2 linked regions of the Coturnix japonica genome follow. The protein of the gene in region 1 interacts with the protein of each later gene in a biochemical or structural test. Links are inferred from orthologs where the notes say so. Each region holds a gene or a part of one and is shown on either strand. Other genes may lie near its edges.

Evidence for each region.
Region 2: the proteins of MYO6 (region 1) and DAB2 form a complex in vitro, tested with the Homo sapiens proteins (7 studies listed by BioGRID). The link is inferred for Coturnix japonica from reciprocal best matches to the Homo sapiens genes MYO6 and DAB2.

The regions. Positions count from the first base shown.
Region 1 is NC_029518.1:73,466,424-73,470,722, reverse strand, and holds the start of MYO6 (unconventional myosin-VI), read left to right. Parts: upstream 1-1,244; 5' UTR 1,245-1,315; exon of another isoform or gene 1,316-1,433; intron 1,434-4,299. UniProt on the Homo sapiens protein: Myosins are actin-based motor molecules with ATPase activity. Unconventional myosins serve in intracellular movements. Myosin 6 is a reverse-direction motor protein that moves towards the minus-end of actin filaments.
Region 2 is NC_029547.1:11,321,298-11,325,880, reverse strand, and holds the start of DAB2 (disabled homolog 2), read left to right. Parts: upstream 1-1,526; 5' UTR 1,527-1,726; intron 1,727-4,583. UniProt on the Homo sapiens protein: Adapter protein that functions as a clathrin-associated sorting protein (CLASP) required for clathrin-mediated endocytosis of selected cargo proteins.

The sequences.
Region 1 (4,299 bases):
CACAGAGAGAAGTGAAGTGTTTATGGCCAGCTGGCCAACAAGCAGGTGGTGCCAGGCGTGCCCATAAAACCCAGGGTGGGGGAGGTGACACAGAGCTCACATGTGGGTGCTTAAGAAGGGGTGGCTATACGTGTCCTGGGCTGCATGACACACGTCACAGGTATGATGCAGTGCTGCCCATCTCTGTTGTGAACACAAACAGTGGAGCGTGGGTGACAAGATAAGTGGTCTCATTTATAGTGAGATCCAGGACACGAGCCTAACCAGGTAATGCAAATGGCAAGAAGGGCATGGCTGGTTACAGACTGAAGTGTGTTTGTTGACACTTGCAGGGCTCATTAGATATAGTATGAGGTGTTTTGAGTGTCCCTTGCCTTTGAGGGTAGAGTGGGCACTCAGCACCAGACAGGACAGGGTGAAGACTGATCCCACTCAAGGGATGCAGAGGTTGGGGGACACTCGGTACATATGCTGCACAGCCGTGGCCCTTGCCCTGCCATGTCGTGAGCTGAAGTGTGTCTGTGGGTTCCCAGAAAATAGCAGTGATGGCAGTGAGCACAGCAGGGTGCACACAAGGGGAGCTCCTGTGGAAGGAACAGAGCGATCTCCAGTTTTGAAGGTTTCCCACAGCAGAATAGAAACCATCTGTGTTATACCCTTCTGTCTTGTAGCCCCCCTTAAGATGCTGAAAGGTCGCCCTCAGGTCTCCCTGGAGCCTTCTCCTCTCCAGGCTGCACAGCCCCAGCTTCTCAGCCTGTCCTCCTCATAAGGAGGTGCTCCATCCCTTGGATCACTGTGGCCCTCCTCTGGCCGCGCTTCAACAGGTCCGTGTCTCTGTTGTACTGAGGGCTCCTCAAAAAAAGACAGACGAAAAAAGCATGAAACATCACTCCTAGCAAACACAACGGGAACCCCCATCGAACAGCAGCTATTGGGGCAGGCCCAGGAGCCCCCAGCACATCCCTCCCGCACGGCAGCGCCGCCTCCAGCCGTGAGGGCTCGGTGTTGTCCGCAGGTGAGGCGGCCCCACGCAGGTGAGCGGCCCAGGGGAGCGGGGCGGCTTCGACCCTCGGCGTCCTGCGGCCTCGTAGGCCATTGACCTCTGCTGTGGCTGCGGAGCAGGCCGGCAGCCGGGCACGGCTTCCCATCCACCTCCTCCTCCTCCTCCTCCTCCCCCGCCGCCGAGCTCCCGCCCCCGGCCGGCCCCTGTGGCGCTGACGTGCGGGCGGGTGGCCGGGCCGGACCAGGCTGCGGGGGGCGGCGCAGAGCGGCGCGGCGGTGGCAGCGGGGAGCGGAGCGGCGGCCACAGCAGCAGGTAACGCCGCGGAGCCGGGGCCGTGCTGCAGGCCGGGATCCACTGCCCTGCTCGGCGGCGGGTGGAGGCGGCGGAGGGGCCTCTCCTCGCCGGAGCGTCCCGGGCGGCCACGGGGCAGGTGCGGGCGGCTCCCGCGGGGCCCGGCAGCGGGGCTTCGGGTGGGGGTGTGTGCGAGAGGGGCTGGCGGAGTTTTGCGGCAGCAAAGGTGGGCAGAGCGCGGAGCGGGAGTTGGCGGAGCCGGGAGTGGCCGGGCGAGGCCGCCGTGCGGTACCGGGAGCCGGGCACGGCCTGTCCCGGGGAATGCGCGGAGGTGCCGGCAGCCCCGCGGGGGGCGGCGGCTCGGGCGGTTCCCCGGCTCGGCCGAGCGGAGCCGGAGTCTGACGGGCGCCTTCCTGAGCGCTCCCCGTAGGAGGAATTCATCCCAGAGCTGCCTTATCAGGTGCTGCTGGGGCTAAAGTGCTTTCTCCTTACTTCCTTAACTGAAAAGTTATTAAACATCCCTCCTCCCTCCCGCCGCCGTCCTAAGTGTAGCTCTGTATAATGCCGTGCATTCCAGCTAACGCTGAGTTTTATCCACACTCCCTTCAAAAGCAATTCTGTGCTCCTGGGATTGTCCCCGTAAAGGAAAGAAACTCTTTGCGGTCTTGTCTGGACAAAACTGGGCATGGTGTGAACTGCAGTGAAGTGCATCTCCTCTCTTCTGCCCGAGTGCTGTGGCAGGCTGCCTATGGAAAGCAGTGTGTGCCTATGGCTGATACGCTACAGAAACCCATCTCTGACTTCTTCTATTTACATCTGTTACTAAATAGGAAGAATTAAAAGTGTCTTCTTTGTTAGCTGTCACTTGAAGACGGCTCACAGTGTTACTGTAGGTACTGCTGATGCTTGCCTGATACTGGGCAATCACATTCCTGGCTAATAAATCCTGATGCTACCAGATACCTATAAAATTGAAATACCTGAATTAAAAGCTTATAGATTACAAGAATGCGTGGTTGTTACCTATTATTTCATTTAAACATTGCTGCTTGTCAGCCCTTTTCTACAGCATGTCATGCCTCCAGCCTTGGTATCCCACTGTATTCCTGAAGGAAATCAAGCCATGGAGCCATCCCGTAGCTTGCTGGCACTGCAGGCTCAGCATGGCCTATGGACTGGGTGAGCAGGTGCTGGGGGACAAAGGTTGGCCACTGTGTTCAACCTTCCTTTATTCCAAGTGTGGCATATTAACCAAGGGCAGGGATGGACTCCTGAGTTAACATTAACCTGCAGCCTTTCTTCTGCTGTCTTCTCAAGACAAAATACAATGCTAGGGTAAAGGCTGAGGGACAATAGAAGCGATTAAATGATAAAACTTGTGGAAATGTATAAGCATAAGCAAATGCCACCTTATGATGCTTGCTCAAGTGCCATAAAGCTGTACTAATGTGCAGGTTAGATTTGAAGTATATGTTTTATAAAGTAACTGCAAGGAATAAAAGTGTAAGAGTTTATTGCTGGGGTGGGATGGTAAACATCAGAATTGTTGGAGCACTGGTTAGTAAATACAACATAGGAGAGGTTTCAAAAGTAGAAGTTAGGATTTAGTTTGCCTATATTTTTAGTGGCTGTGCTTTTAATTTGTGTAAGTTACTAAATGATTCTGTGGCAATACAGTTGTGTCCCTCTGAAGCTATAAAGCCCGCAGAGTGAATGTAAAGGTAGAGAAGTTTGCTGCAAGGCTCACTGACATCATGAAGTAAGAAGCGCTTCAGTAGTAGCTTGTAGAAACTGCAAATTGAGCTTGTTTCCCTCACCTTGTATTTCTAGTTGGGTGGGTGTCTGAGTGTAACCTGTCCTGAACTCTGAGTCTGGGATTGCTACCTGCTGGTATTTGATGGACACAGTAACCATAATGATCCTGTGGATGTGCCATCGGTGTTTGGACACAGTAACCATAAAGGTCCCATAAGGAAAGTCAACTCCTGGCTCCCCACGCCTGTTCTGCAAAGGCAGCCTTGTGACTCCCTCTAACCTTCATGCTCTCTTGGTGTTTAATAATGCTGATCTGAGAAAGACCTTGAAATGTTTTGGCAGAGGAATTACAGTGTATGGTGATGTGAGCGATGTGGCCAAGGTGAGAAGGGAATAATTCTTTACTGTCGCTTTCAGTACGAAATGCCAAAGCAGGAGATTAAGCTGGCAGGTTCAAAGCAAACAAAAGGGTGTTTTTTACTTACCCAATGTGTAGCTACTTAAGCTTTGGAAATCCTTTCTGAAGCATGTGGATACCGAAAGCTCAAAGGGACAAAAAAAGCAACCGGATGAATTCATGGAAGAAAACTCCCCTGAGGCCCATCCTGTAAAGCTGCTGTGGCTCAGGGGTTGGCCACAGGTGGAGCTGGGATGGGATGCAGGCACAGCACTGTCATGTGTTTACCAAGCTTTTGTATTCATTCTAGGTGTGCAGGGCTGCGTGCAGTGCTACAGGCAGCAGCCAGGAGCAGCAGATCTGCTCTTTGACCCAGAACAGGTGATTTGGGGGAAATTATTTTTCATATGAAGAATTTGTTAGCAGCTGAACCTGAGGGACCGTGTCTGGATATATTAAGTGTGGTGACTGATCTCAAGGAGCTGTTATGTGTTGCCATTGTCAAATGGAAACAAGTAGCTCAAGCAGTACTATAGGGCAGTTCTGGCACCTGTGGATCTGATGTCTGTCTTGTGTACTGGGTTAGCACAGAATTTGAAGGAGTCAGAGGAGGCTTTCTGAGCCTTGGTTTTGATGCTGCCTTTTGGAGGATGGGGGTTTCTGATATATTTAGTGGCTGTGCTCAAGTATAAAATGCTGTGTTTAGAGGAAAGAGTTCCCATCACATAGATTGGCAGCAGTGCTGTGGGGATTAGTCTGCAGAGGATTGTAGGAAAAGACAGGATGCAGTAATGTGAAAGTTTGTTAACATTTGGCATGAAGTCCAAGCTAATAGAGTAATGTGTGCAGGTTT
Region 2 (4,583 bases), on another chromosome or scaffold:
ATGCCAGGCAAAGCACAAGTGTTGGTCTTGCTTATGCCAGCAGCAGGCTGACTGCATTATAGAAACTGCTTTGTTACTGCACCATGTTTAAACCAGGCACAATTTCATCCTTCATTTGAGGCGGGCTGCGTCACTCAGTTCCACAGTGCATGCTGAGCAAAGCATAACACTTTAAAATGCATACTGCCCCAGCACAGAGAAGCTGTAACCTCACTGATATGATAGGTCTCCAGCTCAAGGTGTTCACAACAATGCACAGTGCAGTGCAAGCAGTACAAAACCAACATTGTTAAACATGAATAAGACAGTGTCCCAAAGAAGTCACATCTAACCCTTCAGACACCGACATGTGCATGGCCAGCAACCTGTTAACTGCAGCAATGCCTTACTGAGCCATTAAGTAGTATGTACTTCCCTCCATGAATGCTAGGCTGGTGTTCGAAAATACGTCCCTCCGAGTCCTTTATGGTTAAAATTAGCACTTCTGAAATCAAAGACTGATATGGGCAAATGAGACAAAACTGACAGCTTTTAGTTACCCCAGGCACAGGACTCCTATAGATTTTGCCATTGCAGGCCTGTGCAGCATCATGTTGTGTCAAGGAAAGTATTGTGCTACTTGGTAGCTTTGGATGGACTTCACGACCAGATGCACCCATCAGTTTACAAATTTAACTTCCCAGTAATAAAATCATTTTTTATTAATTCTTTTCTTCTTCTAAAGTAGTAAAAAATATTTACCAAATTAATTTATTGCTACTTCAAGGAAAAAAAAAAAAGGTTTTTTTTTCTTTTTTTTCTTTCTTTTTTTTTAATGTCAGGCATTGCTTTGAAGGGCAATAGCACAGATTGGACAGAAATGTTTTGCACTGTTTTGAGAAAATGAATGTTAGATTAAGTTTGCAGCTTTGGGGAGGGGGAAGTAAAATAATAATAATAATAATAATAATAATAATAATAATAATAATAATAATAATAATAATAAAGCTCTTCTGCATGGACAAAGCATGAGTTTTTATCAGAGGCTCTTTCATACGAGCTGGAAAACTGTTGTACTGCACAGGGAAACAAAACATTAGTGAGGTTTTAATAAAGATGAGTGGAAATTATAAAGGTCAGGTTTGGATGTAGCCCAGAAACAGAATCATATCCCAGTATGGTTTCAGCTAGCCACAGATTTGTGGGGGGAAAGGGTGGAATTTTGATTTTGGTATTTTTGCAGAAAATAAGTGTTCAGCTTGGATTGGATTTTTAATAACACTGCCACACCTGTGTATAAACAGACAGTCACACAGACACAAGAGAGGACCTGTTTCCTAGACGAGAGCTTCAGGCGCATCGCTGCACGAGAAGCACCAGATATGTCTCCCCTGAACCAACGTGCAAGCTTCCACGCACCCATCGCAAGTCTCACTCGGTGACCGGGGCTGTGCTGGACACCCCCTAGCTGCGGCGGGGGCCGGAGAGGCGGCTCGCAAGGAGTTAATCTTGTGAGCACCGACACGTTGAGGGGGAGTAGCCAAGACCGAGCAGCAAAAACATCATAGCACATTCCTGGGTAGTTCTCAGCTGCCAGCATCTGATTAAAACCATATCTCTCGCTGTGAGTGGCTAACTAATCCGTAGGCGAGAGTGCCACTGAATATTTAACCGGGCCCTCGCTCCCCGTCCGGCTGTCAGCTGCGGTTCTCCTCGGATCATGCACGGAGCGGCACGGATCTAGCTTGTAAGTAGCTTTGCGAGCGGGGACTCGGCTTTTGCAAGCCTCCGGGAGGGGCTATAACCAAGGAGGGAGGGCGATTTTTTTGTTTTGTGGGTTTTTTTTGTTTTTTTTTTCCCCCCCTCTTTTCTTTTGCCTCTTTCCTTTTCGAGAACGTGGCAGCGGGACCTTATAGTGGGGTTTTGGGGGCCGGCAGCCCCCTGCCTCGGGATGGCAAAGCCGGGGGAGGGGGGTGCTTCCACCGGGGCCGTTTGCGTTTCCCTGCAGCTCCGGCGGCGTCGGGCCGCGCTCCGGCCGCAGCAGAGGAGAAGGTGGTGCGGGGTGCGGGCGCTGAGGGCCGCGGGGACTGCGGGGCGCTCTGCTGTCCGGGTGCGGCGGGCTGGAAGCCGCCCGCATCCTGCCCCGGGCTGCAGCAGAGCCGGCTCCCTGAGGAAGCCCGATCTGAAAGCAAAATAAACATGAGTTTTTATTTGTTTGTCAGGGGAGGGGGTGAAGATGTAAAAATTATATGAAGCTTCGTGTTTATATGCATGCATCTCCGAGGTGAAAGAATCTTCTAGCAGCAGAGAGAAGGCTTAGAATGTAGTGAAGCGGGGGTAGGCTTTCTGTTCTGATTTTTAGATGGAGCATCCTTGCTGAACACTCCTCTGTCTGGTGGTGAATCTCAGGGTGATGCATTCATTTGTGGTAAACAAATATGGTTTCTAGGACTAACTGAAGTGAGAACACTCTCTTGTCAGGAAAACTAACTTCTCAGCTGGTGAAGCTTTGAGCCCTAGTGATCATCACATGATGACACTTTTGAGTGCTGTTCCGCGGTAGTGCCGGCGATCCAGCAGTAAGATCTGTGCAGTTGGAATTCCCTTAGCAGAGCTTTTACTCCTGAGCTGAATTGAGGGTGATTACTTGAGTGCTTACTAGGGAAGCATGTAAATCCATTGTTAAGGTAGGATTAACTTTACTTTGTTTAGGTTTTTATTTGGGGGTGTGGGAGGAGGTTGAGGGTCGAAGGGGGGCTGGAGAGGAATTGTCTTATCTTTAAAAAGTTTCTTTGCCTTGGAAGGTTACATTTCTGCTGAGTGTTTCATAATTTCTGTGAAAATTCTATCTGAGGTAGACTGGGTATCAGAGCATGTGGGCTTTAAGATTTGGTCATTGTATGCAGGAATGAGCACTGATATGCTTAGGGATGGGAACTCCTTTGTAGATAGGCAGCTCAGATTAAATTAATTACGAAGCTATATATTCCAGTTGGTTATGAAGATTTATTAGGCACTAATATGTTGGGGGGGGGAGGAAATAAATGATGTGGTGTCTGATAGTGACCTGTTGTGCAGTTAGAAGTTGTTATGAAGGCCTACGAACACTGTGTCAGGTGATGATAGAGGTGAGACTCTGGGTGGCTAAGCAGGAGTAAATCAGAATCCAAATGATAGCTTCTCAGCTGAGAAGAGGATTGTTTGAGGGAGTCAAAGAGCATGCCTTTTTTTAAAGAATCACTGCAGTCACATCCAACACAAATGGCCCTTAGGGCACAGTTAGGCTTCCAAAATGACCTGAGTGAGCTGAGGATGTGGTCAGATCTGAAGCAGAAGCATCTGTTAGTAGAAACTCACTAAAGTTTGCATTTGGAAGAGGAAGATTGCTTTGAATTCTAAATGAATGTCCAGTGAGCCATCAAAGCAGAAGCTTCACTATCAGACCTCATGACTGAGAGTACAGGAGAACTCTGACTAAAGTGCATTGAATGTTAGGTGCTGTGAGATTAGATGCTTCCGCTATGCAGGACCTAGTAGTGCCTTCTGTGCTTCTTGCTGTAGACAGAAGGCTGGATGAATGGCAAGCTTTACTATACAAGTTCTTTGACTTGTGTCACTCCTTCTCATCTATTATGCTTTTACTTCAAACAAAGCTATTGGCTGAGCATCAGCAGTTGTGCTCAGCACTGTAACTCGGGTGGATGGGCCAAATGCCAGAAATCTGGCATCACTTTCCTCTTGTGAAGGTAGAGATGGTTATCCATTCTAATATGTGCCTTCTGCTGTGTTTCTATGTACATCTGCAGAACACAGCCTACTTTCTCATTGAGAGAAAATGACTTGACAAAGTTGCTACATAATTTAGTTATGGGACAAAATGGCCCAGTAGATGCTACAGTTGTTTAGCCCCTTTACTTCATGAGTAGATGGGAACAAAGCACTTTAAACACGCAAACAATATGTGCAAAAGGTACCAGAAGAGCTCTTAGATTTGTGGGAAAACAGCTGTACTTAGTGTCAGCTGGGGGGGGGGAGGCAACAAACAGCTGGTATTCAGGCAGGATGTTTAAAATAAAAACTACTGCTTGTGATGTTAAGTAGAAGTGCATAATATGCTGTGATTACTGAGTATTGTTGCCAGGCCCACAGATCTTTCTCCTGTTGATGGTCTTCTCTATGTACTTTATGCTGCTGGTACACTTGTGTGACCTACTAGGTTAACCCAGTTCTTGGGAATGCTTGTGAACTTCATACAACAAGCCCAGCACAAAGCAAGCACTTCTGAAGTATGAATTTGCTAGGACAATGAAGAGACACATTCCACACCAGAGAGAGACTTCTTACTCTGGAAATAGTACTGGTAAACCAAATTCTGCTTGCTATCCACTTTCCATCAAAAGTGATGAGATAGCATGATCGTACCTTGTAATCTGCAAGGATTTTGGAGGAAAAACTTAACTCTTGTGTGAAGATTAAGGGATTAGTAATAGAAATAAGACTCTTCCCCTGCTGTGTGGGATGGAGAGGGAAATGCTAAGAGGTTTTAAGCTTCTTCTATGTAACACAACCAAGCATAAGCCACTGCTCCCCTACCTCAGCCTGAA